Linked DNA regions of Rattus norvegicus. The protein of the gene in region 2 interacts with the protein of the main gene of each other region in a pairwise test. Links are inferred from orthologs where the notes say so. Each region holds a gene or a part of one and is shown on either strand. Other genes may lie near its edges.

Region 1 (5,026 bases), on a different chromosome or scaffold from region 2:
GGTCACCTAGCCCCTTTCAAGGTGAACCTTAGCCACAAGGGGGTTTCCCTTGTGTGAAGGGAAGCAGGGTATAAGCAAAGAAGATTAGAACAGGCAGGGTGCGGAGAAAGGTGGGGCTAGAGCTTGCCCATCTGAATGGTATTCTTCCTTTTCTCTCCCAAATCCATAGAGTATCACTCGCAAGAGACGGTATGTGGCCTCGGTTTCCTTACATGATCGGATCTATGTGATTGGTGGCTATGATGGCCGTTCCCGCCTCAGTTCAGTGGAGTGTCTAGACTACACAGCAGATGAAGACGGAGTGTGGTACTCTGTGGCCCCTATGAATGTGCGGCGAGGCCTTGCTGGAGCCACCACACTGGGAGGTAGTTGATGATAAATGCTGCTTCATTTAGCTCCTCTACTTTGATGGGAGCATGACCGATGTCTGAGCTCAATTGTGCTGTACGGTCATGGGCACTGGTCATAGTTTATAAATTCCATGTGGACAGTCGTCAGTGCCTTTAAGTATTTCTTTTTGTAGTTCATTTTGTTTTGTCTTTCAAGACAGGGTTTCTCTATATAGCCATGGTTGCCCTTAAATTCCCTTTGTAGGCCAGGCTGACCTTGAACTCGGATCCACCTCCCCCTGCCTCCAGAGTGCTGACATTTAAAGTATGCACCACCACCCGGATCTCTTAAGAATTTTTATTTTCTTGAGATGGAGTTCAGTAAATTTCCCTGTGTAGCTTGTCTGAAACTCGGGTGTACATAAAGGCATGAATGAGCTTTAAATGCTTGTTTGTACTGCCTTTCTTCTTCCGAGACTTGAGTGACTTATCATCTAAGGGGAAAATGCTCAGAGTACAAAATATACTTTTACACACACACTACCATATACAGTTAATATACACAGTGGGAAATTTAAGAACAATAATAAAAATCAACTTGAAGAAAGAATAAGAATTTGTTTGCTTGAGACAAGTTCTCAAATAGCTCAGGCTGGCATTGAATTTGTCTCTGGTCACAGTGGCCTTGAACTCCTGAAGCTCCTCCTGAATCTCCTGAGTGAGGTAATTACACTCATGTGTGCATCTCCTCCTCGCATCTTAACAGTCAGTGATTTGTAGAGAAAAAAGTCCTAGAAGTTTTTCCTTCTTAATTTAACAGTCTATAATTTGTTCACTCTGAGCAGATATGATTTACGTTTCTGGAGGCTTTGATGGAAGCAGGCGTCATACAAGTATGGAGCGGTATGACCCAAACATTGACCAGTGGAGTATGCTGGGAGATATGCAGACAGCTCGAGAGGGCGCGGGACTAGTGGTGGCCAGCGGCATAATCTACTGTCTAGGTATGAGCCTGGGGTGGGGCTGGGCCAGCTTAGTGGACTCCAGAGGGCATCACTTTTACCAAAATTATGTGTATATACTCACATCAAACAAAAACTCTGATTTATCTCAATGTATTGTCCATGAATAGGATTATATTTTTCTTGTAAGCAATGTGCAGGATGTTGCATATTCTCCGACCTGGAAAAAATAGAACTGAATCAATTGAATTTTTCACAGGCCAACTAAAATTAAAATGAGCCTGAGAATCTACATTTCTTTTTGGAATGTTCTCCATTTTGTCTTTCAGGAGGATATGATGGCTTGAATATATTAAATTCAGTTGAGAAATATGATCCCCATACAGGACACTGGACTAATGTTACGCCTATGGCCACCAAGCGTTCTGGTAAGACCAAGTCAAATCTATGATGTGACAGAAGTGCTGTCAGTCTCGGGATGTGTACAATGACAGTGTAGTTCTGGGTGTGGTATCAGTGGGATAGAACTGGAGTTTGTACTTCACCCTAGACTCAACGTAAACTGGAGTCACAGTCCGGCCTCCTTCACCTCCGCCTTCCCTACAATATGATGAAGGCAGTATGAACTTTGAGGCAGATTGTACATTTGAGGGCAGTGATTTCTTTTTTTTTTTTTTTTTGGTTCTTTTTTTTGGAGCTGGGGACCGAACCCAGGGCCTTGCGCTTCCTAGGTAAGCGCTCTACCACTGAGCTAAATCCCCAGCCCCTGATTTCTTATTCGTCAGTACTTTCCTCCTGTTGTAGTTCTGACCACCTAACCTAATTTTTTTTTTTTTTCGGAGCTGATGACTGAACCCAGGGCCTTGTGCTTCCTAGGCAAGCGCTCTACCACTGAGCTAAATCCCCAACCCCACCTAACCTAATTTATCTGTGTAGTACATATTAAGTAAGTGTTTTTGTCCTGTTGAGGTCTGTGTATTCTTCTTTTACTCTTTGAACTTTGATGTTTGGCTTTTTTAAAGACAGAATTTCCCTATGTAGCCCTGGCTGTCCTGGAACTCACTCTGTAGACCAAGATGGCCTTGAGCTCACAGAGATCCACATACACCTGCTTCTGCCTCCTGAGTGCTGGGATTAAAGGCATCCACTGCCAACCTGGCTAGACTTTGTCTTGAGGGTCCTACCATGCAGTCCTGGTCATGTACAAGTTGCTATGAGGTGATCCTTCTGCTTCTGGCTTCAAGTTATACCACTACATTGGTTTTTTGGTTTTTTGGTTTTTTTTTAAACCTAAGATCTCACTGTATGTAGCTCACATTAACTTTAGACTCCAAGGAATCCTGGGATTGCAGACATGTGACATATACCTGATAATAAATAGCAATGAGTATTACATAAAACCTCTAGTGCCTAAAAATAATTTAAAAAAAAAATTCTGAGGACTGCTCACAGGGCCTTGCATATACTAGGCAAGTACTGTCATAGAGGTCCATCTGAATGACAGCTGAGAACTCTTAGTGGGATAGGCTGTGATGTAACAAAGAGCAGACAACGTGCTGTTCCAGCTAACTGCCTCTGACAGAGGTCACAGCAGAGCCATGGCCATCCTCCTTTGCTCCTCTCATCCTTACCAACACCTTTCCTCCTGCTTTCTGTTTAGCCAGCTGAAGAGGGAGTCTGTGAGTTAATGAAAACAAAGATGAGAACCATGTCAGTCCTCCACTAGAATTCCAGGTCCTAGCCTAAGGGTTGGCCAGTGTGCGCACTAACATTTGCTGTATTAAAGTGTTCTAAGCCTGTGTGACACGTCTGCGTCCCTCATCTCCACAACTCAGCCAGTAGTGAGTTACTGGGATCAGATGCTAGACTTACTGACCTTCATTTGCCAATGCTCTCTTTTCCCCAGGTGCTGGAGTAGCCCTACTGAATGACCATATTTATGTGGTGGGAGGGTTCGATGGTACAGCCCACCTTTCTTCTGTTGAAGCTTATAACATTCGCACGGATTCCTGGACAACTGTCACAAGTATGACCACACCACGATGCTATGTAGGGGCCACAGTGCTTCGAGGGAGACTCTATGCAATCGCAGGGTGAGGAGTTTGAAAGTGGGCCAGAGCCATGTATCCAAGGCAAGAATCCATTCAGGATGGAGGCGTAATGTGTGTTGTGGGAACAACCACTGGGGCTATTTCCATTCCCGGCCCAGTGCGGGGCGTGGACCCTTGCCCAGGTGATAGGACTTGTGTATAAATGGCTGGAGACCTCATTTCTTTCTTTTGTTTTTTCCCCTGTCAGATACGATGGGAATTCTCTGCTGAGCAGCATTGAGTGTTATGACCCTATCATCGACAGCTGGGAAGTAGTGGCCTCCATGGGAACCCAGCGTTGTGACGCTGGTGTGTGTGTTCTCCGAGAAAAGTAACTGTTATTTGGACACCAGCTGGGAACAGTTTGTGGGAGAATGAAGGATCCTTTCCAGAATGTTCACTTCTCACTGTGTGCACAGGGCGATTACAGGCACCAGTGCTGTGATGATTGTACTTATTTGACGCACATGCTCCTTCTCACTGGCCATCCTGCTCAGACGCACGGGGAACAGGTCCTCAAGGGAAGAGAATGCACACACGGATCAGAGACACAGATCATGGCTCTCTGTGGTCTGAGGAGCACTTTCTTCTGTTTGTAACTTACCATGTGCTTGGGAGAATGTGTGTGTGTGTGTGTGTGTGTGTGTGTGTGTGTGTGTGTGTATGTGTTGTGCCTCGTATATTGCAGAGAATTAAGGTGAGTATGGCCTACTAGATGTGGGCAGTGTCCATCCTGTGTGATTGGAAGGATATCAGTTTATATAAGCTTGGTAAAATGAAAGTCTTTTCTCCACTCAGAAGCAAAAATATCTTTTCTAAATACAGAGGTAGCTCGAGGCACCACAGTTCCTTTCTGTAGGAAACCAAGAGATCACTGTCAACATTTGAGAGGCCAAGAAGGAAGATTCGTGCTGTTCTCACTTAGGGAGACATAGTTGGCACAGAGATTTGAGTAAGTGGCAGGAGCTGAATGGAATGTGGGTGAACCCAGAAAATCACTGAAGTGTGAACTGGAAGGCTGGCAAGGACATATTATCTGACTCCATGGTCTTTCTAATGTAAAATGTTGCACCATCTTGGTTGGCACTGGAGACTGAGAGATTAACAGTGGAAAAGGTTAGAATAAGAAATGCTGTAAATGTGCAGAGTTCAACATACCTGTGGTAAACTAGAAATATCTGTGATTTTACAATCATCTTAGTCCCTGCCAGGGCTCCCATAGCCGTGGCAGTATTTGTCTTATGTGGGTGAAAAGACCATCTTCCTGGTGAATCAAGTGCTACCACGTTACTTCGCCTCCACACTATTTATTTGGGGATGGGTGGGGTTGCTGCAGCCTAGTAGTTCAGGTACTGATTACTGCCCTGTTGTTTTAAGGGCGCACTTCCACTGAGGAGTGTTTAATACTGCTGTGTGGTACGTTCAGTTCTCTTCCTGCTATATCTTCTGTACTTGTCATTACAGTGTATTTTATTCATCCTGGAACAAAATAATCAAGGACAATTGAAAATCTTTTGTTAGTTTCCGCACCTCTGCCAATGTTCCCGAGCTGCCATTCTGGCTCCTCTGTCATGGTGAATTCTGCAGTTACTGGTATAGCAAATAGGAGAGTGTGGGAGCCGGAACTGGGCTGCACTTGCCTTTT
Region 2 (6,312 bases):
TAGCTCCATTGGTAAAGTCCCTGACTAGCAGGCACAGGTCTGAGTTCAAGCCCATAAACAGCGTGTGGTGGCTGAAGCTTGTGATCCTAGCTCTTCAAAAGTGGAGACATGAGGATCTGTATATCAGAGTCACTGTATCAAAGTCACACACACACACACACACACACACACACACACACACACACTCACACACATATTGAAGTCTAGGTGATGTGAGACTCTCAGAGGAATAAAAAAAGTGACATACTTTAAGGTGTATGACCAAGAGCAACGAAACTAGGCCATGGTGTTGAGCCCAGTTAAGGTAATGGTGAGCAGAAGCTGGGAGAGTAGCGTTTATTTGGTCCTCAGAGCCATCTGAGACAACATACTGAACTGAGGAAGAAATTGGGTTCCAAAAGAGCTCATCAAGTAAAGAAAGGGACTGCACTTCCCAGTGGCTCAACAGTTACTGTGATCAGTAAGGCCGGGAATACGGTTGCTACCAAATCGCTCTCGTGTGTCGCCATTACAAAAGTACAGGTTTCTCATCACAAATTGTCACAAACCCAAGTTACAAAAGAAAAATCACATGGTGCATATCTTAAAAGACAGTGCCCCCCCCCACCTCATAAGCTACGGTAATATCAAGCAGGGAGAAGGTAGCTTTTGCTACCCCTCGGCAGTCATCTTCCCCAACAGCGGGGAGAAGGCACAGGAAGGAGTGGGGCGGGGCGCTAATTTCCCCTCAGTACAAGATGACAGGTGAAGCTTGGTGGGAGACTGGAGCTGGTGAGGCTTGAGGGGAGGAGGCTCCAGGCCCTGTGTTCAGTCAGAGTCACTGCTGGAGGAGGAGGAGGAGGAAGAGGAGGAGGAGTGCTGCAAGGGGAAAGGACACATCATCAGATCCAGATGGCCTCTGGTCACTCCAAGGTCCATTCTTTGGTGCCCCACCCATCCACCCAAGTATCCAGTAGTCAGGAGTCTCATACCGTCCTGTCCCATAACCAACAAAATCAAGGGTTTCCTTCAGCAGTGAACATACAAGAATGGATTAAATTGTCCTCAGTCATTGCACAGAACTGAACACATTGCCTTCTGACCAAGTTTATACTTTCCACACCTAGCCAGGGCCAGGAATGAAGAACAAACACAGCATGGATGCGGGAAGCAGCTGCAACTTTGTAAGTCCCTACTCATTAGCTTAAAGAATGACAAACGAGACTCTCTGCACCTCAGAGAGGGTAGGAACAGCCAGCCACCGTGTGTGTGTGTGTGTGTGTGTGTGTGTGTGTGTGTGTGTGTGTGTGTGTGTGATGCTGTACTTCCTCCAAGTCCCACTAGGGGAAAAAGTGGGGAAGATGGCAGAGACAGACAGATGGCTGGAGAAACCCCACACAGACATACCTCCGTCAGCTACTGTAAAAAAAACACCTGCTACCAGAATCCTAGCCCTTAAGAGTTTCGTGTTGGGGCTGGAGAGACGGCTCAGCGGTTAAGAGCACTGACTACTCTCTTCCAGAGGTCCTGAGTTCAAATCCCAGCAGCCACATGGTGGCTCACAACCATCAGTAATGCAGATCCGATGCCCTCTTCTGGTGTGTCTGAAGATAGCCACAGTGTACTCACATACATGAAATAAATAAATAAATCTTAGAAAAAAAAAGTTTAGGCTCTCAGGGTTCTCTCCCTCATTCAGTGTCTCCTTTCCTTCCCCACTCCCCACATCTCTACCTAAGACCCAGAATCAGGAACTAGAGTCCAGACCCACAAGCAAACATTTGGCATAAAAATCTAACTAAAGCTTCAAGATTAGACTGATGCTTTTCCCAAGTCCTCAGGGAAACTCCTTCCCTCACTAACAATAATTAGCGTCCCTGTGGAAGGAAGGGATACAGGTCTTGTGAAGGAAAATGCCCTTTCACCCCAGGCTTTGCAGAAGGCTGCTGAGTCACAGAAGACCCACCCAGGGAATTAACTCAGCACCTGAGAACGCCGAAGGAGATAAAGGAAATCCAGGAACTAGGGTCAGACCGCCACCCCGCAAACTATTATGCGTCATTGCACTTTGTCAAAGAACTCTTTTGACATTTAGACAACCTTAATGGGTGTGTCCAACTTACCAAAAGATACACCTAGGGTGGGTCAAGGCGGGGAGTTACAGGGATAGAGGGAGAGAAGGGAGAGGGCTTTTGGCTCTGATATCCGCCCCCACTTCACTTTTCCTTTGCAGATGGGAGTGGTCGAATGCCTCAATATTACTAAACTCCTTAAAGGAGGATCTCTTTACGTAAAGGAAAACCACCTGCCAAAAGGACAGGATTGCCGTCCTCCTCCCACGCCCCACAAACCGAGAATGCCCATCCCCAACTCCTGATCACCCCGGTCCCTCTGAAGGGAGCTCCTTCCCCAGCCAGGCTCCAGAGGACACTGACCTTCCCGTGCTTATGATGCTTGTGTGATTTCTTGTGAGCTTTCTTCATTTTCTTCCTAGTCTTCTTGTCTATCACTATTCCTGGGCCTACCATGCCAGGAGCCGGAGGATTCACGGGGCACATGCCAGGAGCAGCTGGTGGGTACGGGGGAGGGTAGGGACCTGAGGGTTGGTATCCTGGACACCCTGGTTGCGGTACAGGATAAGGAGGTCGACACGGAGGGAAAGCTGGGTTTCCCTGAGGAATTCCGGGAGGACAGGGGCCAGGAGGAAAGGCAGGATTTTGGGATGGTGGGCAGGCAGGATTGGAACCTCCTGGACACACAACTTGGGGTGGATATGGATTTGGCCCTAGAGGAAGAATTGGAGAATAAAGATTAGAACGGTGCAAACCTCTATCAACGAGTAACACAAGTCACCACCATTCTTTTTTTTTTTTTTTTTTTTGTTCTTTTTTTCGGAGCTGGGGACCGAACCCAGGGCCTTGCGCTTCCTAGGCAAGCGCTCTACCACTGAGCTAAATCCCCAACCCAGTCACCACCATTCTTAAGCCCTACGGAAAGGCAGAACTCGGTAGCTAGCAGTGGTCCCGTGACTTTGTTTTTGCTGGGGGTTGCAGGATACAGAAAAATCCCGTTTCGTTGCAAAATGGGCTGGGGCGGGGTCAGAGGAGAGCCCCCCAGTTACTTACCAGCACTAGGATTCCACATGTCCACAAGTTAGTTCAATCCTACGAAGTAAAACAGACAAAAATCTGAAGCTCCCAGGAAGGGAAGCGGATTTTCTAGAGCCCGAGCCCCACCCTACAGCCTCCGCCTTACGAAGGCTCTCACTGATAAAACTACCGCAACCTCCACTTTAAAATGGGCAGCACTCTGGAGGCAGAGGCAAGTGGATCTCTGAGTTAGAGACCAGCCTGGTCTAAAGAGAGTTACAGGACAGCCAGAGCTACCCTGTGTTGAAAACCAAAACAAAACAGAAAAAAAGTTTCCTTCCTCTCTCCAGCGCCCTCCTAGCCTACATTAGCGCAGGGTCTAAACCACAGAAACTCTCTTCCTGGGGCCCCTCCCACTTTCACTATCTCACCTGGATGTAGGCGTCTCATTTCCCTCTCCCTAGAAAGGGACCGGAGGCCTTAAGCATCCGTAGTGTGAGAGATAGGACCTAAACCCTAAACTCCCTGCTCGCCCCAGTGGAGAAAAAAAAAAAAAAAAAAAAAAAAGGAACCCAAAACGCTAAGATAAGGACAAAACACACACACCCCAAAGAAAGGGCAAAGGGAGTTCCTAGTTCTCAGGTATAAATGGATCCCTGGCCCAGCTAAGAGGAAAGAAGGGAATTTGGGAGGCCAGATGCCCTGTCACCTTCCCAAGATCGCTGGTCCTCTTCCCGTCCTCCTTCCCAGTCTGGGATCACACACTTCCTGGTCACCCCTATTCATTCTATGCTTCCGCACCGCCCCGGTGACCTAGATAATTATGTGGTCACTCGGCATGATGATTGGAGAACTGACTTGTCAATCGCTGTGGTCCAAACAAGGAGGAAACGTTTGCGCTAGACGCCGGGCGGAGCCTTTTGGAAAAAAAAGCCTTGCGTTGTGAAATACATAACTGGTGAAATAACAGACACAGCGGAAGTGCTCCTTAGGGCGGGAGCGGGGCAGGGCTAGCTCCAAGCAGAGACCCCGAGCCAACGAGATAAACTCTCAGTTTCTTTTGTTCGTTTAAATTTTAAGATTTTTTTTTTAAATGAGTATGAGTGATTTGCCCCAATGTATGTGCACCAAGTGCCTGCTGAATGACAGCGGAGGTCTTCAAAGCCCCTGGAGTCAGAGTTGCTGATGAGCAGCCATGTGGATGCTGGGGACTGAACTCAAACACTTCGCATGAGAAGCAAACGCTTTTTAACTGTTGAGACATCTCTCCAGTCCCTATCATTGCGTTGCGGTTACAGGTCAGTGAGTACATTAGGTGTTTTGTTTGTTTGTTTTAAGGTAGCCTTGTCTGTAACCTAGCACTTGGGAAGTGGAGGAGGAGAATCAGAATTCAAGGGCAATGTTAGCTTCTTAGGGAATTTGAGGCCAGCCAACCCGATATAAGACCTCAGAGAGCCCTGTGCTGGTGGCATATGTCTTTAACCCCTGCACTCAGGAGCTGAGGCAGGTGAATCTCTGGGTTTGAGGACAACCTGGTCGACATAGTGAGTTCCAGGACAGCCAGAGCCACACAGAGGAACCCTCTGTTTCCAAAAACAAAAACAACAAAAAAACAAGACCTCAGAGAACAAAAGGAGGAAGTGCTGCTAAGTCCTAGCCCCAGGTCTCAATGCTGCCAGCTTCTATAACCACAGCCCGTGGTTCTCTTTTTTTTTTTTTAAAGATTTATTTATTTATTATATATGAGTACACTGTAGCTGTTTTCAGACACACCAGAAGAGGGCATCAGTTCTCATTACAGATGGTTGTGAGCCACCATGTGGTTGCTGGGATCTGAACTCAGGACCTCTGGAAGAGCAGTCAGTGCTCTTAACCACTGAGCCATCTCTCCAGCCCCGTGGTTCTCTTTTGTAGAAAGATAGGTAAGAGAGGGGGTCTCAATGTGTCCAACAGATGCCGTGGTTATAGTCTCATGCCATTGTTCCGGGTGAATAACTTCACTTTTGGTTTTGTTGTTTTGAGACAGAGTCTTCCTGTATGACTCAGGTTGACCTTGGAGGGAAGGCAGTCATCCCTTATCTGCCTCTCTCCCGTGCAAGAATAACAAGAGCAAGCCACAACTCTCAAAAGAGTTTTTTTTTTTTTTAAGGTAAAGATTACAAACTCGTGCTTCAGCACATCTAGTTCTAACAGGTGGAGTTCAAAACATGCGAAGCCAAGAGTCTGCAATGTAGCTATATGCCCAACCCATAAATATCTTTTAAAATATTTTATCTTATGTGTTATGGGGGTTTTGGCTACGTGTATGTCCTGTGCACCATGCGCATGCAGCACCCTCAGGAGTCAGAAGAGGGCACCAGATTCCCCTGAGACTGGAATTATAAATAGTTACGAGCTGTCTTGTGGGTACTGGAAAGTAAATCTAGGTCTTCTGGAAATGCAATGGTTGCTCTTAACTGCTAAGCCATCACTCTAGCCCCCATCAACATCTAATGGTAAAAACCCTTTCATCTGTTACTTAAAAGCTGTGCCACCTCACACACATTCTGAACTTCTGCAATCTTTTAGTTCCCTCCTGTGGATAGGGGGCAGAAGGACTGTCATGGAAAACACAAGCCAGCTGAGCAGAACTAGAGTGTAAAGTTTCTCCTGAAAGCAAGATGGCCCAGCAGGTAGCTAGGTGGTAGTGGTACAGGCAGAGCTCTGTGAGTTTGAGGTCAGCCTGGTCTACAGAGCAAGTTCCAGGATAGCCAGATCTACACAGAGAAACCCTGTCTCAAAAACAAAACAAAACAAAACACCCCCACAAACCACAAAAGGAAGAGGATGGTGGCAGCCCAGCAGACTGCCACAGACAACCTCAGTGAAATCCCAGGACCCACAAGATAGGAGAGAACAGTTCCCTGAAAACTGTCCTCTAATGCTCACACACCTGAGAGACAGGAGGATTTCAAGTTGGGGCCAACCTGGACTACCAGAATACACAGAAATCTGGACTACACAGTAAGAACTTGTTTCCTAACAAGGTAGTGTTTATTTTAGGGAAGGAATCGTGAAAATAAAGGGATTTACCTATCTATCATGAAAAAGAAAAGAAAGGGAAAAAAGCTACATATAGGAGCCAAGCCTGTAATCCCAGCACTTTGTAGGTAGGATCACGAGTTCAAAGTCATCCTTGACTACACAGGGAGTTTGAAGCCACCCTGGATTATGAGACCCTGTCTGTGAAGAGAAAAAAAGATGA
Region 3 (5,740 bases), on a different chromosome or scaffold from region 2:
TACCTGTTTGCGTTGGGCTTCACTGTGCCTATGATTGTGATCAGCATGCGAGGCATGACTCCTCCAGGCAAGGGCATATCGTAGGGCACTGTCTGGGATAGACAAGAATCCCAGGGTCAGCAAAGCGTTGTGTTTTCTTGGGGAATGTAAGAGTACGTTGCAAACATTGTTACAATGCATGTGACAAACATAGAACACTGTGTGGCTTCTGAGGCCACCCTGTCCAGGGCCTAAAGAGATGGGAGATAGCGTTCCCCGTGAGCATGAAAGTTAATTGAGAAATTAACAAATTAGGGAACAAGTGTTCCTGAACCGTCCCTGGGGCCGTTTCCACCCATAATTCATCTGCATGGAATCATTTTTGCAGCGTTTTAAGCGAGACTGTTGACCGACAATCTTCGTGCATAGGTCCCTGGGTCCCCTTGACATGACATACAGAACTGTAATTCTGCCCCCTGAGGAAAGGTTTGTGTCACCTGGGACTTCTGTGCTCCCAGGTCACCAGCAGAATGCTTTACGCATGAGCTCTTCTACAGTTCATTCCACAAGTGTTAGGCAAAGTGCTTACGGGCTGGTGGACTTCCCCGGAGCTCTGTCCCTGCCTCTGGTCTCTCCACTACGACATTTCCTCCTAGGTTCTGCTGTCTCCCAAACGTCCATCTCTAGCCTTGGTCTGCACTAGGCCTTGCATATGCGTCCCGCAGTTGCTCCTCCCCACCCCCCGGGTGACTAGACTGGGTGACTGGAAAGCCTGCTTGCATGGGTACGAGGTGGAGGAGTCACCTCTACCCCATCATTTCCCTCCTTGCATCCCTGGTTTGAGCTAAAGTTTTGCAGTCTTGAAAAGCTCTCAGTGTTTACTGGAGTTATAGGTGTAAGCCACCCAATGCCTTATCATAACAAGTTACAGAATCAACTCAATATGAACACATTCCTTTTCCTACTTGACTGATTACACCCCTGCCATTGACTCTTAAGACATGGCTAAGCAGCAGGCTTAAATTCCCTCTAATGTCCTCCCCACTGGTACAGCAAGCCCATGAAACAACTTCCTCCTTACCAGTGGTCCAGTCGGGGCACCAAAGGGGCCAGTAGCAGGATAGGCCCCAGGAGCACTGGGGTAGGCCCCAGGAGCACTGGGGTAGGCTCCAGGTCCCCCAGGTTGCCCTGGGAAGGCTCCGGGGGCAGTTGGGCCAGGATAAGCTCCAGGGGCAGTTGGGCCAGGATAAGCACTAGGGCCAGTTGGGCCCGGATAGGCACTAGGAGGAGCCTGTCCAGGATAACCCCCTGGAGGAGCCTGTCCTGGGTAGGCCCCAGGATAGGAGGCCCCTGGGTAGCCTCCTGCCCCAGGCTGGTTCCCCCATGCACCAGGCCATCCTTGAGGGTTTGGGTTTCCAGAGCCAGCTAAGGCATCATTAAGCTGTAAAGAAAGACAAACAATTAGAGGATGGGACTCCTTCACCACGGGACTCCAGGCACTTGTGATCTAAGAAGCTGAGAGTACAGGAAAAAGATTCATATTCTTCCCTCGCCTTTTCTGCTGTTTTGTGTTGTATTTTATTCTGGTCTCTCATCTTCGTGGGTCGGGGTGGGTTAAGCTCTTCTGGTTTACACCAGGAACTGGCTGGCTATAAACACACGCTTTCTAGTCAACACGAGAGACAGCTGCAGGTGTTGGCATGAGCGCACCAAGTCACCGTCTCGCTGCTTCCAGGAGGGACATCTCCGCTGTGCAGGCCACACCTCTCCCTGTAATCTGCTGCTGGGAAAGCAAGCCTGCTGCTAACAGGCCTGAATGCACACGAGAGCCAGAGGGAGTTTCACAGTAGGAGGGTCAAAGGGAAAGCTCGGCTAAGAGAACACACATGAAATACTTACTGAGAAGCCGTCTGCCATTTTCCTAAGAGAGAAAAGCCAAAGGGGGTTATTAGTACTTGAGCCTAAAACATTTTACAAAATCTCACGAGATTAAACATAAATAGTTCATGGGCAATTCTGGTCAGTCTACAATCATTTCACCTAGATCAATGGCGCTGGATCATAAAAACATCTTGCGGACAGGCGGGATACAGTCTAGCTAAATTCCAAACCCACTCAGGTTCTGAAGTCAGACCTTGACGCCAGGAGCTTGTGCTCTGAGAGTAAAAGGCCTTGAGGGCTAAGGGGTAGGTTGAGAATTTCCTGTCTCTCCTCTCGGTGAAAGACGGTAAATTCTCTTGGCTCCCTGCTTCCCTGAGTTTTTCTACCCTTGCAAGGATACATGGGAAGTACAACCCTCCCTCCTCTCTTCCCAGCCACAGATTGGAGGAAATCCATCTGTCGGTTCCTACCGAGATCTCTAAGACAGCTGATATGGCTGCTGCCTGGTTAGTTACCCTCGCTTGGTGCACCCTGACGCCTGCTCTGAGCCATCGCTTTCCACACCATCCCAGGGCCCCCAGGGCCCCCAGGCCAGTGAGAGATATGAGACGCATGCACACCAGAGTGTGGTCGGTGCTGCTGGGACATTCAAACCTGAGAACTCACTTGTGAGCTGGGAAGGGCGTTGGTGGTGGACAGGCGGCATTTGGGAGTGTTTGGTTGGATTTCGAAGTATTGTAAGTATTAAGGTCTTTCTATGTAGTTCATCCTGACTTTGAACTTAGGATCCTCCTGCCTCAGCACCTCAAGTGTTGGCTGTGGTGCCTGTGGGTTTTTGCTGTTGTTTGTTTGTTTGTTTCCAACAACAAATAAAACAGCAGTAAAACAGCCAAGCAAAGGCCAGTCAGGCGGCCTGAGGCAGCTGCCTTCAAGATACTGCCAAACAGGTTTGCCTTACACGGATTGGTCACGGGGCTGGTTTGCAGACGTACCCTGTTTCCTCCAGCTCTTGCTCCTGTGCCACACCTATCAAACCACAGGATGCATGAAACCTGCCCCCCTTTTCAGCAGATTCCCTCAGAATGCAGCAGAGAGCAGCTGTGGTTTGGAAACGTTCCTTTCTTAGGGCGCTGGCGATTAAATTAACAGCAATTGGCATATTTGGCAAAGGCTAGCACTAAGGCACGAAACAATGCAAGCAGCCACAGGGAGGGCAGCTTTGGACGGGAATGAGATCGATCAGAGCTCAGAACGACTGCAGCCATCTTGCTGCCATGAGAATCACCTGAACATGGGGTTGGGGATTTAGCTCAGTGGTAGAGCGCTTGCCTAGCAAGCACAAGGCCCTGGGTTCGGTCCCCAGCTCCGGGAAAAAAAGGGGGAAAAAAAAAAAAAAAGAAAGAGAATCACCTGAACCTAATACATAATCAGACTCTCTTCTGACTTCATTTTGCCCATCTGTGATAGTTTACTCAGTTATCCCGAGAAATAACATGATTAGGTGAGCACCGTGTCCATCATGCCTGTGAGCGCAGCATTCTGTAGCCTGAGAGTTTGAGGTCAGCCTGGACCACATACCAAGCTCCAGGGTCTCATTCCAGCCTTGATCACTTACAGCAACCCCCCTTCCTCAGCCTCCCAGGGACTGGCATCAAAGGCAGGACCCGCAGTTCCTGGCTTCAGATTTTTTCTTAAGAAAATAAAGCCTAGGCTGGGCATAGTGGTACACAGCACCCAGAAGGCAGAGGCAGGCAGATTTCTGTGAGTTTGAGGCCAGTCTGGTTTACAGAGCGAGTTCCGGACCAGCCAACGCTACATTGTGAGATCCTGTTAGGAAGTGGTTTTGAAGCTCAAAGTGGACAGAGAACTTAGCACTTCTGATTAAACCTTTCCCCACCCCTTCAGCAATATCTCTGGCTTCAAGCCGTTAGATGCCGGTGGCACACTGCCCTGTAACTTGTGACAACCCAAAATGTTTTCAAAGGTGGGAAAAATCTCTAAGGCCAAAAATCACCTCTGGTTGAATTGAAGACTACCAATTCAGGCTGTCAGTGTCTATCCCTAGATAAACTTACATACAAGGGGCCATAAAAACCAACAAGGAATTTTAAAGTAGCGAAGGTTACCAGGGAGGATGGTCACCACCTGCCACCTCAAGTCTAGGGGGGGCTGAGGTAAGAGGAGCAGAAATGTGGAGCCTGTCTAAGCTGCACAAGCAGACAAACAAGAGCAATCCTCTGCTGGGCATGGTGCCACACACCTCTATCTTAGGCTGAGGCAGGAGGATTGACTTTACCGTTAACCTAGGCCACAGAGCAAGACTGTCTCTAAAAACTAACCAACGAGCACTTCCCCATAAAGAAACCCTTTTCCCCTCTTAAGTACGCTTCAGTTTTAGTTTGTTTTTTGTTTGTTTGTTTGTTTGTTTTTTTCTTGGAGCTGAGGACCAATATGCTTCAGTTTTGTTTTGTTTTGTTTTGTTTTGTTTTGATTCTTTTTTTCGGAGCTGGGGACCGAACCCAGGGCCTTGTGCTTCCTAGGCAAGCGCTCTACCACTGAGCTAAATCCCCAACCCCTGCTTCAATTTTAAGAGACTTGAAGATTTACAAGTTAAACTCTTAGGTCTGAAGGGTCAAATCACTGTTAAATAATATGTCACTCAAAAGAGCCTACATGGGAAAACAAACAAACAATCGAACTTTCCCATTCTCCTCAAAAGGTGCTCTATTAACAGAACACCAGTCAAATTCTGTTTAAAGAGTGATACATCTAGAAACGCTAAGAGATACTGTGCAAAGCCTCTGATCAAGGCTGGCTGGCTCCATCTTCCAATCTGACCAAATGAAATCCCAAAGGCAGCAGATTTCACTGTGACTCACGTGGGCCTTTGGATGATGTCAGGGTAACGACGCCCTCCCTGCACTGTGATTTTCAGTTCCCAGAGAACTTTCACTGAGCTGTTCTTTTGTTAGCAATCTGGTAACGCTGGCTGGAGAGAAAATATTCCCACTGTGAAGTGAGGAATCCGAGAGCTCATTCAGTGGCCCAAAGCATTGGCATCCTGGGGACAAGAGCCCAAGTTTCCTGACCCTAACTCAAGTCTGACCTATATTTGTTTAAAACTGTACATTTTTGATATTTTAAAATAGAATCCTTGGAACTTTTTAGTTACATCCCTGAAAATTCAGCTTGTTGGTTCACCCAGAGCGACACGACTGAAATAGTAAACAGATTTAAAATAAAAAGGAGCTCTGGGCAGACACTGACTCGTGAGTCATTCACTCAGTGACTCGTGAGTCATTCACTCAGTGAGTCAATACACGGGCTGCTGGGTATAGAATGCTTTTGCACACAGCCACATTGTTAAGAAAAACCACATTTTAACCAATACACTGCATTTTTCCAAAAAAAAAAGTATTCATTGTTTTTAGTTAGAATTTTCTTTACAGTATTTACTTCTCAAATATAGATTTTTTTTAAATTGAAGTGTATCTGTGTGTGTGTTTGTCTCTCTGTGTGTGTCTGTCTCTCTGTGTGTGTTTGTCTCTCTGTGTGTGTCTGTCTCTGTGTGTCTGAGGGGTGTGTGTCTGTCTGTCTCTCTGTGTGTGTCTGAGGGGTGTGTGTGTGTGTGTGTGTGTGTGTGTGTGTGTGGTGTTGTGAATGTGTGTGCAGTGTCTGTTGTAGCGAAGACTTAGATTTTGGCTACTGAGGGTGCTGGGCAAATAGGCACCCGAATCGTCAATAAGACTGACCTAGGACACGAGTTCACTGGCAAGAAGTAAGAAGCTTGTTTATTTATTTCAAGGCAGGTCTGTCTTACTCTTTGGCCCCGGCTGGCTTGGAATTCTACATGTAGTCTACACTGGCCTCGAACTTGAGA
Region 4 (6,401 bases), on a different chromosome or scaffold from region 2:
TGAATCCTGAGGTTAGAAACTTGGAATTAGACTAGTCTGAGCTAAGTTTCTGGCCAGCCTGGAAAATTAAAGATGTTATCTTCTTTCTGGCTGAGCGCTGCCAACATGGTGTTCAGGCGTTTCATGGAGGTTGGCCAGGTGGCCTACGTTTCCTTTAGGCCCCATTCTGGAAAGCTCATTGCAGGTGTAGAGGTTATTGATCAGGACAGGGCTTTAGTGGATGGACCCTGCACTCAGGTGAGGAGACAGGCCATCCCTTTCAAATGCACGCAGCTCACTGATTTCACCCTCAAGTTCCCACACAGTGCCCACCAGATGTATGTACAAAAAGCTTGGGAGAAACTTTTCTCCCATCTTCCATATCAATGCGAAATGGGCAGCCACAAGATGTACCAAGAAAATTGATGCCAGAGAATTTCCATTCCAAGCCAAGGTGACAGATTTTGATCGGTTCAAAGTCATGAAGGAAAGAAAATGAGGAACGGAATAATCAAGAAGGAAGTAAAGAAACTCCAAAGAGCTGCTATCCCGAAAGCGTCTCCCAAAAAAAGCAGCTGTCGCTAAGGCTGCCACTGAGGTGCAGTGGCAGCAGCTGCTGAAAGTAAGGTCCCAGCCAAGAAGGCAAACAGGAGCAGGCAAGAAAGCGGAAGCCCAGAAGGCTGCTCTGGAGAAGGCTGCAGGTCAGAAGACCCCAACCCAGAAATCACCTGCTCCGAAGGCAGCTGGCAAGAAAGTATGAGGCTACACAAAGAATAAAGGTTCTTTTTGTCTGAAAAAAGATGTTATCTTTAAAAATAAAAAAAAAAAAAAGAAATAGGGGGCAGAGAGCTGGGTCAGTGGTTAAGAGCACACGTTGCTCCTGAAGAGGATGTGGGTTCAGTTCTCTGCACACCATCCACAATTCTGGTTGCAGGTAACCTACTGCCCTGGTCTGACCCCCTCAGCACCAGCCATGCGCATATGACGCACAAGCACATTCGTACACGCAGACAACACATCCATACACATCTAAAAGAGAGAGAGAGAGATCTAATAATACTAACAGTGAGGCCAATACTGGTCCCATCAGAGCTGTGAATGTATCTTTTATTCACCAGATGTAATTGTCATCTCAGAGGTTTGCTACTGAATAAACCCATCCTTTCTAGTTCTTTCTGAACTCTGGCTGGTTGGTTCAGCCTAAACTCTCTGAGCTGACGCATTAACCTGCTTCTCTCAGCTTCTGACAGAATTGCTCTACTTGGCCTCAAACTGACTCTGGCAATCTGTTCTAATCTTCTGGTCCCTCTCTCTCTCTGACTCATTCTGTCTTCAGACTGAAACCTGTCTCTGTAAAACTGTCCTGGTAAAACTGCTCGCTCCCTCTCTGTCTCTGTCTCTCTGTCTCTCCATCTCTCCCGCTCATCTTGTCTCCGTCTCTGTTTCCCTCTCCCTACCCCTCCTGCTCTCAAGCCACTGATTCAACCAAACTGACTAGAACTCAGAGATCTGCATGCCTCTGTCTCCTGAGTGCTGGGATTAAAGGCATGTGCTGCCACACCTGGTTCTAAATTTCTTTACCTGGAACTTGCTCTGTACCATGCTGGCCTGGAACACGTGTCTGTATTCCGGCCAGTTATGATCCCTTTCCAGAACAGTCATATTGCTGGATTAAAAACTCCTCTACACAGATCTTTCACAGAAGGGAAAAACAAAACAAAACAAACCAGCGTGATCCAGTCATCAAGTTGACACCTGTAATTTCTTGTGGCTTTTGGTGTTTTGCTTTTTAAGACGGAGTTTCTGCGTGCAGCCTTAGTTTTCCTGGAACTTGCCGTGTAGGCGAGGCTGGCCGTAAATCCCAGCAAGTGTTGGAATTAAAGATACGGGCCATTATTGCCTGGCTTTTTTGTTTTGTTTTTGAGCTAGGGCCTTATATGTTTTTCCACGTTGGCCTTGAACACGTAGCAATCCTCTTGCCTCAGTCTCCAAAATGCTTACAGGATTTTTGATACTACAAAATCCTACTCTATATAGATCCCTCGTTTGCGATCACCCTTCGAGGCCGTATTCATACTCAACACAAGACCCGCATTAAAGACAACAAACCAGCTAGAGGCCACCAGTCGCCTCTACTGGGATGAGCTCCTCTGGCCCCGACCAGAACCTCAGAGGTTGTTAAGGGCCCGCCCACCCGTCTGAGTTTCCCAAAAACCCGTGCGGCAGACTCCGGCCGCTTCAAGATGGCGACTCCCATGCATCGGCTTATAGCTCGGCGGCAAGCGTGAGTAAGACGCGTAGTGGGGTCTGCGGGAGGGCTGGGGGCGTCCAGACACCGGTCGGTAGCCAGTGCCGTTGCGGGACTGAGCGGGTTCTGAAGGGAGTCCGAAATGAATCCAAGAGCTGGTCGCTGGGTGGTTTGTGTCCCTCTGTCCGTTCCACACGTCAAGGGTAGCCTGGATGCACGGTCCTACATCTTCCCTTTCAAGGATCCAAACTTTTCCCTCTGCTGCGTTTCCCGCCTCCTTCTTATCGCCTTTCCTAGAAACAAACCTAACTTAAATGCCTATTCATTTCCCATCTACCGTCTCACTTTCTGCGGTCTTCTCAGTAATTACTTTAGTACTAGCATTCCTTGACAGTTTCAGTGTGAAGAAAATGTATTCAAGACACGCAGCTTACAGTTTTGTTGTGGAACCTGTTGGTACTCTAAACAAGTACAGCTAGTGGATTAAATAGCTTTGTTGAAGCACCACGATGGTGATGCTTCCAGCAGTCAAGAGGCAGAGACAAGTGGATTTCTGAATTCGGAGCCAGCCTGGTCTACAGAGTGAGTTCCAAGACAGCCAGGGGTACATAGAAAAGCCCTGTCTCTCGAAAAACAAAACAAAATTAAGCTTTATAGGAAGTAAGAGGTTGTAATGGGGAAAGGGAAAGGCCCGTTTCAAGTTAGTTGGGTTAGAAACGCATCTGCGGAGGGGTGACATTTGAAGAAGACAGACTAAAAGCCATAGGAAGGACAGAGTCACCTGAGGATTTGGGGAAAGATAGACAGTGGTATAATTGCTTTGAGTCTGTTAGAATTTAGGGGTAAGTGGGGGGAGATTTAGGGACAGGGTTTCTCTTTGTAGCCCTAGCTGTCCTGGAATATCTGTAGACCAGGCTGACCTCAAACTCAAGATAGGTGCCTGCCTTCTGTGTGCTGGGATTAAAGGCATGTGCCACCATGCCCAGCTTAAATAAATATTTTTACCTTTTTTTTTGAATCTCAGTAACTATCAGTCCTGGTGGCAGATGCCTTTAAATCCCAGAGCTAGGGAAGCAAAAGCAGGTGGAATACTGTGAGTCAAAGCCAGCCTGGTCTACATAGCAAAACTTCAGGTTAGCCACGACTGTATAGGAAGACTTTGTCTCCAAAAAGAAAAAACAAAGTAACTCAGTAGCTACCCATTCAGTGGTGTAAGCGACTTAAGGGGCCGAGACTGGGTAATTGAACGTGAATTTGAGTCCAGCCTGGAAGACTTCATCTTAAAACTAAACCCTCCAGTTACACCCACTCTGTATGGCCCTGTGAGGTGGCATGTTGTGTTTCTGAAACCTATCAAAAGTCATACGAAACTGAAAGGAAAACACTGTTTATGGCTCTAGTACCTGCATGCTTTGAACTTTCTTGCTCCTGACCTAAGCTATGATTTATTAATTAAAAACCTGAATATTGGGCCAGATATTGGTGGATTACGTTTTTAAGCCCAGCACTCAGGAGGCAGAAGCAGGTGGAACTGTGAATTCAAGGCCATCCAGGTCGACAACAGAGACCGTGTCTTAAAAACAAAAACAAGGAGTGTTTTCCACTTAAAGGTCATGAGTCGGGCTGGAGAGGTGGCTCAGTGGTTAAGAGCACTGACTGCTCTTCCAGAGGTCCTGAGTTCAATTCCCAGCAACCACACGGTGGCTCACAACCATCTGTAATGGGATCTGATGCCCTCTTCTGAAGTGTCTGAAGAGAACTACAGTGTACTAATATATAAATAAAATAAATAAATCTTTAAAAAAAAAAGTCATGAGTCTTTCCTTGTTTCATATTGCTTCTCCTTTTGGTTTTTCAAGACAGGGTTTCTCCAGGCTGACCTCATAGAGATCCTCCTGCCTCAGCCTCCTGAGTGGTAGGATTAAAGGCCTACACTTGTATTGCTTTTCTTTCTTTCTTTCTTTTTTTTTCTTCCTTTCTTTAAGATTTATTTAATCACTTTATTCACACACACCAGAAGAAGGCAACAGATCCTGTTACAGATGGTTGTGAGTCACCATGTGATTGCTGGGAATTGAACTCAGGACCTCTGGGAGAGCAGTCAGTGCTCTTAACCGCTGAGCCATCTCACCAGGCCTGTATTGCTTTTCTTAACAGGTTTATCTTCATCTTTGCTAAATATTTTTCTTAGATTTAGTATACAGTTCCATTGTGTATTTTTGGTTTCTGGCTGGTCATCCATCATATTCCCTGTCCCATCCGTTTTGTTTACCACAGATCTCCATTTCACTCTGTTCTCAGTCCTGCCTCACCCCTCAGGATCCTGGGATTACAGGAGTGCACTGTGTCTAGCTTTAAAATAGCTTAACTTTCTTCTTTATATAATATTTCCAAAGGCTGAACCGAGGAGTAACGTACGCCAAGCAAAAGTTTCACCACAAAGCCCGACAATCCCTCTCTATGTGCCAGTCTTTAGAAACATTTTTTTTTTTCTTTTTTTCGGAGCTGGGGACCAAACCCAGGGCCTTGCGTTTGCTAGGCAAGCGCTCTACCACTGAGCTAAATCCCCAACCCCTAGAAACATTTTTTAAAAGCTATTTTATGTGTGTGAGTGCTTTGGCTGCTTGTCATCTCTACAGCATGTGTGTCCCTGGTGCCCTCGGAAGTCAAAAGAGGGTGTCAGACCCCTTGGAACTGGAGGGAGAGATGGTTATAAGTCGCCGGATGGAATCTGGGAACCAAACCATTTATCCTTTGCAGTAGCAGCAAGTGCTTAACTGTTAAACCGTTTCTCCAACTCTAAATATGCTTGGTTTTGGACTGTAGCCTGTTATGTGACAGGTCTAAAATTTCCCCTTTGTGGTGCTTTGGTGCTCCAAAAAATGTGACCTGTATTGCAGAAGGGTCTTACTCATAAAATTTATTAATAGATAAAGTTTGGGTTTTTCTGTTTGTTTGTTTGTTTGTTTGTTTGTTTGGAAGCTCAAGGACTATTTTATTAAAGTACAAGGTGGTTGTAGTGGCTCACACTTTTAATCCTAGTATCGTGTGGCAAGTGCCTTAACCCACTGAGTTATCGCACTGCCACCATTTTTCATGAGTAAGTAAAAAAGTGATAGCAGAGGCAGATCTATGAGTTCAAGGCCAGCCTGGTCTACAGCTGCAGAATCAACCAAACAAATAACCTTTTTTATTTGCGCGTGTATAGGAGTAGAGGACAACTTGTTGGGGTCAGTTCTCCTCCTTCCACTACACAGACCTAGGGATGCAGCTCAGGTCTTTGGGCTTACAGCAAACACCTGAGCTATTTCCCAGCCTTAAAGGTGTTTTAACAGGTTAGAGGTCTGCCTTAGTAGTAGACAATTCAGGAAGGAGGCTCTGAGTTTAATATCTAGCATTTTGCAAAGAAAATAAAAATCTTTATTATCCTTTATATTCTGAGCTAAAAATGTTGGTCCAAATACATCATTGCTGGGATGGGAAAACTTAGAATTTTTGTTGTTTGTTTTGCTTTGCTGAAACACGGGGTCGCTCTGCAGCTCAGGCTGACTTTGAACTCAGAGCCATCCTCCTACTTCGGCATGAAAGTGAGGAGTATAAGCATGATATTCGGTGCTGGGCTTAGAAGAGCAAGACTCGGGCCAGGGTTGGGGATTTAGCTCAGTGGTTAGAGCGCTTGCCTAGGAAGCGCAAGGCCCTGGGTTCGGTCCCCAGCTCCGGAAAAAAAAAAAAGAACCAAAAAAAAAAAAAAAAGAAGAGCAAGTCTCGGGGTTGGGGATTTAGCTCAGTGGTAGAGCGTTTGCCTAGCAAGCGCAAGGCCCTGGGTTCAGTCCCCAGCTCCAAAAAAAAAAAAGAAAGAAAAGAAGAGCAAGACTCAGCTCCTTCTGTTGAACCCCAAGCTGCATGCATTGGTCACTTAAGTAGCTTTGCAGACTACGGTAAACATTGCTTGATACTTTCTGCTCTTTTAGGTCAGACAGTGCCCCAAGACAAAACTTCCAAGGTTTGTTGTGTTCTCTTTTTTCTTTGTAGTGAAGCCAATAAGCAACACGTAAGATGTCAGAAATGCTTGGAATTTGGACATTGGACTTATGAATGCAAAGGGAAAAGAAAGTACCTACATAGGCCTTCGAGAACAGCAGAGCTGAAGAAAGCTTTAAAAGAAAAAGAAAAT
Region 5 (6,254 bases), on a different chromosome or scaffold from region 2:
AGTAAGATGAGGACCCCAATAATGAAGGGATGACAAAGAGAGGTCAGAAAAGAGTTCAAGTCAGGTGGCTTTCTATTCCCCTGTCACTGGAGAATACATAAGAAGGGCAGGAAAAGGTAGAAGAGAATTGGGTCATGCTCAGAGGTACACACACCATTCTTGCACAGAAGGGAACTCAAATGTTTTAGAAGCTTGAAGAAATTCACGATACTGCCTCCCTAGTTATGGGGACAAGGAAAGCGCCTATGAAAGGTTAAGTGGCTTAAAGAGAATTACAAAATCCACAGATTGCTGTCTGCCCCTCAGGAATGATAGAATCAGACCTGATTCGTGAACATTGTTCCAGCAGCCATGTGAGAGAGAAAAGAAGTTACCTATAGTAAGGCTGAGGAATGAGGAAAATTGGCTATGGTATGACTTCCTTCTTCTGTTATGACTTAGCTACTGTCATCCTCGTCCCTGGCTACACGGACTTCACTGAGAGACGGAAAAAGGTCAGTTTTTGCTCCATCCTGCTCAGTAACACACATGGCCACTTGGGCCAGGTCAACTCTTGACGGAGAATGGTGACTTACTGACACGAGTTCAACAGCTGAGCTAAACTGAACAACTGTTAGAAGCAAAGAAATGTTGCAAAGAAAGTAAACCTCACCGAACCCTATGCTCAATGCCGTTTGTCAAATAACTAAGTGTCTAAGTTTTTTTCTACAGTCTTTAGCATCTCATTGTTACCTACATAATGGTTTAAGCTGGCATACAATACTGAGGGAACGGAGGTGGAAGCACGTGACCGCTGAAGCAGACAAGGCCGGTGGTTTGTGAAAAGCAGCCTCATTACTCTATAGTTATACCTTATAATAACCAGGCGTGAGTCACCCCAAGCTGGATCCATCACACCTAAAATAAAAGAGCATGACACAATACTTGTCCTTCTTGATGATCACCTCAATGGAGCCCCATTTCCCTTCCATGCGGCGTCTGGATCGATCATCCAAGAAATTACCTTAACACCTTCTATGTCTGCATTTTCTAAAGCAGTGGCATTGTGCATTTGAGCCACCTGTCAAGCCTATTATCTTGATTTTTTTTTGGTGGGTTTAAGCAGTTTATGTAAGTCGTTCCATCTAGCTTAATGACACAAATTATTATTATGCTTTGCAACATTATTTTGAATTGAAAGGTTAACATTTTTTTTTTTTTAACACTGGTTTCAAGTTTAAGAGCGTCTCAAACAAAGCTGGAAGAAAAGTCCATTTTGTCCCTTTCCTTAAGGAGCACATTCTCATTCCTAAAGTTTTACGGTGTGCCTCCTGGGGTGCTCATAGCACATGGGTGCTCAGAGCACCTGCTCGAATAATGAACAGTGATAGCAGGCCAACTCTGGGTGCAGTTGGGTGATGCAGAGGTCACCGGAGTCTCTCAAAGTGCCTAGACAAGTACTGTGCAGGCTCATTTTTCTCTGCTATCCCCTTAAATGCTCTTATTCCTAGACTCTAGTCACGTCTTCACACATCACCCACTGTGTCCATACAGTTCCTCATGTACTATCCCTTTATTGCTATAATAAGTGTTGTTTTGATTCTGACTTTTTGCCTAGTATCTGTTTACTCCCATGCTGTCTATTGGCCACTTCCATTCCTGTGTCAGATCCACCTTAACACAAGCTCCAGGCTGACCTCATTGCTGTCTCTCATCCCTGATCTTGAGGGATGTCTGCCCAGTTATGGAGCCTTCTCAATGAGCTAATGTCAAGAACCAGGTTCCACCATTTCCACCTCATCAAAGCAATCAATTCTTAATGATTCTACCACTACCAACACACCTACAAGTTAGCTGCTTCTCTTAATGGGACCACTTCCTCAATGGTAACATAATCCAGCAGAAACACCCTTAAGCACCAACAGTTCTCTAAGGTAACTAACTCTCCTCCAGGTTACTGAATTCTAAACATGTAATTTTTCTTAAATCTGTTAAGTGGTTGCCTGCTGTCTACTAACATCCTAACACTTTGTTTTTGCTTGTAAGGTCCTTCTGTCACAGGAAATCTATTGTGCCATGGATACCTTGGAGAACGCATTTGTATGCATAGTGGGGAAGAGCTTGGATAACCTACATTAGCTCTTGGTTTCTCCCTCTGTGAAGTGAGAATAGCATCAGCTATCTCACAGTAGTGGTTATTAAAGGAAAAAAATACAATGTTTGACATAGTATCAGGTATGTGGGTTACATAGTAAAAGTTAAGATACTTTGAATTATCTTTTTAGTTAATTTCTCATTTCTCTCAGGTTAGCTGATGGTTAGCTCTTCTATTTTCTCTTCCTTTCTATATCTGCTCCCTTTCCCTGCAGGTTCCCTGCCCTCTCACATTTTTTTTTGTCACCCCCCCCCCCCGCCCCCATCCCAGGAGCTGAGGACTAAACCCAGGGCCTTGCGCTTGCTAGACAAGCATTCTACCACTGAGCTAAATCCCCAACCCCTCTCATATTTCTTTAGCTCTCATCTGGAACATCCGTGGTTTGTCCTCTCTGAATCCTGTTAGGTGTCCTAACTGTTTTTGCTTGCCGCACCATTAGTTCCACTTTCTGCAAATTCCTCCTGTTCCCTGTTGAGTCCTAAGAGAGCAAGGGTGTCGTCTATCATGCTCGCCACCACACACATAATAAAGAACATACAGTCATCTCTCTTCTCACAGTTCCAGGTGTGCTCCTTTGCAAAGTGCAGAAATTAGGAAAGCAGCCCCACCCCCACCCTGCAACCGCTGGCTCTAGAATAAAGTTCAGAAAAGGCTGCCACAGAACAAAACCAGGGGTCAAACAGTAGCGGGAAGAGGTAGTTTTTTAAGCAAAGTTGGGGCTTCATAAATATTTTCAGGGCCTTTCCTACAGTACTATGCATTGTGAATCTTGGAGATGTAAGGTGGGTATATCTCTTAAAAACACCTGCCCGATATTAGGGTTTTTGCAGAAACACATTCTGACAAGGCCGGCTTGGGGAAGTTCTTGAGGCTCCCCAGTAAACTGGAGCAGCAAACAAAAACATCCCCGGAGCCCAGTGTGCCGTGTCTAGGTTAGAAACCTCTGAACACCAAAGTGGAACCTACAAAAGAATCTTTGATACAATTCAAGGAAGCGCCTTCTTGAAACTAAGAGGGAAACTGAGGCCCCAGAAGGGCACAGAAACCGGCCTACAGCTACACTGTAACTAAAGGCTGGAAGAGCTAGGACAAGCCCCAGGTGCACTTCTTGACTGGATGACTTTCACTACAATGTACCACCTGGATTCGCCAAAAGTTCACACTTCGAATTTTATTTTGAAATTCAGTGAAAGTTACAGTCTTACGGGCAACTTGTCCCCTTAGGCCTACAGTTCTCATTGTCACCAACTCTCTTGTCCCTCTTACAATACACTTTCCCTGTAATCCTGTGCAGTTTGGGCTTGCACAAGAATGACAGAGATGATCTTTCCCAGCCCTCTTTGAACTTGTAGTGTAAACTTTTTCATGTAAATCAACCGATTCTAAATTTTCAGGCCTTCGCCTGAATCCCCAAGTGCTCCCTGCCACCCCCGGTCCTGGACTCCCCTGCTCGCCTCATTCCTCTGGAGTGAGAGAGCCCTGCGGTTGATCTTCACCTGGGACTGCCATAATGCAGGTGAGTGGGGTCACCGGAGTCCTGAGCTTTCGAGATCGCGTTTCGTTCAGGTCCTTAGCGAGGACAACGCACTAGCAGAGGGATCTCTCCCACCCGGTCACTACAACTTCACAGGGCAGGAGAAGGCCGGATGCACATCCAGGGTTGGCGGAACTAAGAAGCTGCGGACCCAGTTTCCAGGGGTGTCCTACCGCGGAGCACACGTGGTCTGAACCATTTCGGCCAGCTTCCGGAGGTGAGTGCTATCTGCAAACACCGGACCTGGACGCAGCACCCGGATTTACGGATTGGCCGTTTAGCTAGTATTATGAATGACACGACAAATTCTCTAAAGTTGCAGAGGTCTTATAGTCTTTTCTAGTTTCCTGAAGAACAGGGACATCCCCCCTCCCGGAGTTAGCGGTGCTGCGATCCGGGAGCAACATGGCGACGTCCATGAGGGGATAGTTTGGGGGAGTAGCTAGTGCTTAGTACGGTTGTCCTGTCTAACTCTGACCGAGTAAAGTTTTCCCCAAGTACCCAGGTAAAGAATTGTCTACTAACAGGTGGGCATCGTCAGAGACCCGCCATTCGCTCGCGGCCACACTAAGGAACGGAGTCTTGAGCAGTGAGCAAGATGAGTAACATCTACATCCAGGAGCCGCCCACGAATGGGAAGGTGAGAGCCTCTACCACCTGGACATCCTAATTAAGAGCAACCTGATTGGGGGTGGCAAGGGAGTTGAAAGACCAAAAGGACTGCCCTCCACATCATGCTTATGGCCACTGTTGCATTTATACTATTTACAGTGACATGTCTCAGCGTATTTTTGAGAGTTATTGAGCAACTTCTCTATTCGCTAGTCTTCTGACCCCTTAACTTCCTTGATCCAACTCACGTGAGCGCCTTCTAGTGTCTGTTGTTTTTAAGACTTACGTTAAGATTGTTCATTTTTTTAGTTGTTTAACTTGGAGGTCGCGCATTCTCTACCATCATTTATTGAAGGCCTCCTTGGCACAACGCACTCTACTAGGTGCTGATGATACAAAGCAAGGTTGGTGTGCTACACACACACACCCCCACCCACACACACACACAAATATATATATATACATATATATATATACATACATATATATACACATATATACATATATACATATATACATATATATGTATATATATATACACACACATATATATATATGGCTAGCTGCTAATTCCCTATTTCAAAATTACAGGCGTGCATCGACACACCTGCCTTTGGTTGGGAAGAATTGAAGAAGATTATATTGCCATGATAGTAAGGCGGAGTGAAAAACAGGAAATGATGGGGAAAACATCTTGGAGGACATATCTTTTGAGATAATTGTCAGAGGCAGCGGGGGAGTGAGGAATATTACTGGGTAGGAATGGGAATCGATTCCCTGATAGGTTTCATACCGAGCTATATTTCTAGAGGACAATATTAATTTTAACTAATAAATGCTCGTAGAGATAAAATAGACTGACCATTTATTCCCCAATGCAGGACCTTAACTTTTGCTGTTCATTTCTCTAGTATGCTATTTTATCTGTTCAAACGTCACTCTTAACAAAGAGGCCTATAAAATAGCAAATCTCAGTGATGCCCTGGGTCTCAACAATTTCCAAGTATTTAATAGTATATTACTTTTGTTTCTTTCCTATATAGAATGCAAACACTATCAGTGAAGATAAACATCTAGAAACAGTGATTCTCTACCTGTGGTTTGTGACCACTTTGGTCAAATAACCCTTTTACAGGGGTTGAATATCCGACATCCGACATATCAGATATTCATGTTAGGATTTATAACAGCAGCAATATTACAGTTATGAGATAGCAATGGAAATAATTTTATGATTGAGGGTCATTACAACATGAGGGATTGTATTAAAAGGTCACAGAATTAGGAATTGAGAGCCACTGACCTAGAACATTGCTTCACATACACTGTGGAGTTCATGCACTATGAAAGAATAGCTAGGCAGATGAATTAATACTATGTTTTCTTTAGCTTCTGAGAGGTATTGAGCATAAGTAAGGGTGAATCATGCCCAGACTTAGTTGTTTGACACTTTTAAGAAATAAAAGAGGGTTTCATATGAGTCTTTAGCTATGCTGGAACTGGTTGTTTACTGTAGGAAATGATTTGACACATTCATAGAGTAAAAGCATTTCTGAACAGGAGCTCATTCCTTCAACAAATATTTTTAAATTGTGTATATATACATGAGGTGTGTGTGTGTGTGTGTGTGTGTGTGTGTGTGTGTGTGTGTGTGTGTGTGTGTCTTGTTTTGAAGAGTTAAAATAAAAACTTCATAAAAACTGCAAAAGAACAGCAGATAAGGGGACAGGACAGAGCTGGCCTGAGATGTGCCCGGCCAAGCCTAAAAACAAGGTCAAGGGATTGTTCCAGGAAGGGGGCCATCCGGACGTATGACTCCCTGCTCTACAGATAAAGATAAGACGTTCTCCTATATTGAGAACACCCCAGCCCGCACGTACTGCTTGCAGATGAGACCTTGTACCCATTTCCCTTGCTGATAACCATGCGAAACCCCCTGGCTTCTCCTATATAAACCCCTGCCTGAAGAGGCTC

What was found.
Region 1: the proteins of Prr13 (region 2) and Klhl12 interact in binary tests that used the Homo sapiens proteins (3 or more experiments, as listed by UniProt). The two-hybrid records come from large-scale screens. The link is inferred for Rattus norvegicus from reciprocal best matches to the Homo sapiens genes PRR13 and KLHL12.
Region 3: the proteins of Prr13 (region 2) and Lgals3 interact in binary tests that used the Homo sapiens proteins (3 or more experiments, as listed by UniProt). The two-hybrid records come from large-scale screens. The link is inferred for Rattus norvegicus from reciprocal best matches to the Homo sapiens genes PRR13 and LGALS3.
Region 4: the proteins of Prr13 (region 2) and Zcchc10 interact in binary tests that used the Homo sapiens proteins (3 or more experiments, as listed by UniProt). The two-hybrid records come from large-scale screens. The link is inferred for Rattus norvegicus from reciprocal best matches to the Homo sapiens genes PRR13 and ZCCHC10.
Region 5: the proteins of Prr13 (region 2) and Srek1ip1 interact in binary tests that used the Homo sapiens proteins (3 or more experiments, as listed by UniProt). The link is inferred for Rattus norvegicus from reciprocal best matches to the Homo sapiens genes PRR13 and SREK1IP1.

Annotation. Positions count from the first base shown.
Region 1 is NC_086031.1:48,480,510-48,485,535, forward strand, and holds the end of Klhl12 (kelch-like protein 12), read left to right. Parts: intron 1-169; coding exon 170-365; intron 366-1,174; coding exon 1,175-1,333; intron 1,334-1,620; coding exon 1,621-1,719; intron 1,720-3,197; coding exon 3,198-3,384; intron 3,385-3,589; coding exon 3,590-3,716; 3' UTR 3,717-3,826; downstream 3,827-5,026. UniProt on the Homo sapiens protein: Substrate-specific adapter of a BCR (BTB-CUL3-RBX1) E3 ubiquitin ligase complex that acts as a negative regulator of Wnt signaling pathway and ER-Golgi transport.
Region 2 is NC_086025.1:135,468,570-135,474,881, reverse strand, and holds Prr13 (proline-rich protein 13), read right to left. Parts: upstream 3,843-6,312; 5' UTR 3,778-3,842; intron 3,144-3,777; 5' UTR 3,124-3,143; coding exon 3,105-3,123; intron 2,765-3,104; coding exon 2,415-2,764; intron 859-2,414; coding exon 808-858; 3' UTR 538-807; downstream 1-537. UniProt on the Homo sapiens protein: Negatively regulates TSP1 expression at the level of transcription. This down-regulation was shown to reduce taxane-induced apoptosis.
Region 3 is NC_086033.1:23,101,995-23,107,734, reverse strand, and holds part of Lgals3 (galectin-3), read right to left. Parts: intron 1,901-5,740; 5' UTR 1,897-1,900; coding exon 1,879-1,896; intron 1,421-1,878; coding exon 1,061-1,420; intron 93-1,060; coding exon 4-92; intron 1-3. UniProt on the Homo sapiens protein: Galactose-specific lectin which binds IgE. May mediate with the alpha-3, beta-1 integrin the stimulation by CSPG4 of endothelial cells migration.
Region 4 is NC_086028.1:37,969,235-37,975,635, forward strand, and holds the start of Zcchc10 (zinc finger CCHC domain-containing protein 10), read left to right. Parts: upstream 1-2,224; 5' UTR 2,225-2,234; coding exon 2,235-2,263; intron 2,264-6,259; coding exon 6,260-6,401.
Region 5 is NC_086020.1:37,707,291-37,713,544, reverse strand, and holds the start of Srek1ip1 (protein SREK1IP1), read right to left. Parts: upstream 3,809-6,254; 5' UTR 3,644-3,808; coding exon 3,631-3,643; intron 1-3,630. Other genes in the region: spliceosome-associated protein CWC27 homolog, read left to right, coding at 4,267-4,308. UniProt on the Homo sapiens protein: Possible splicing regulator involved in the control of cellular survival.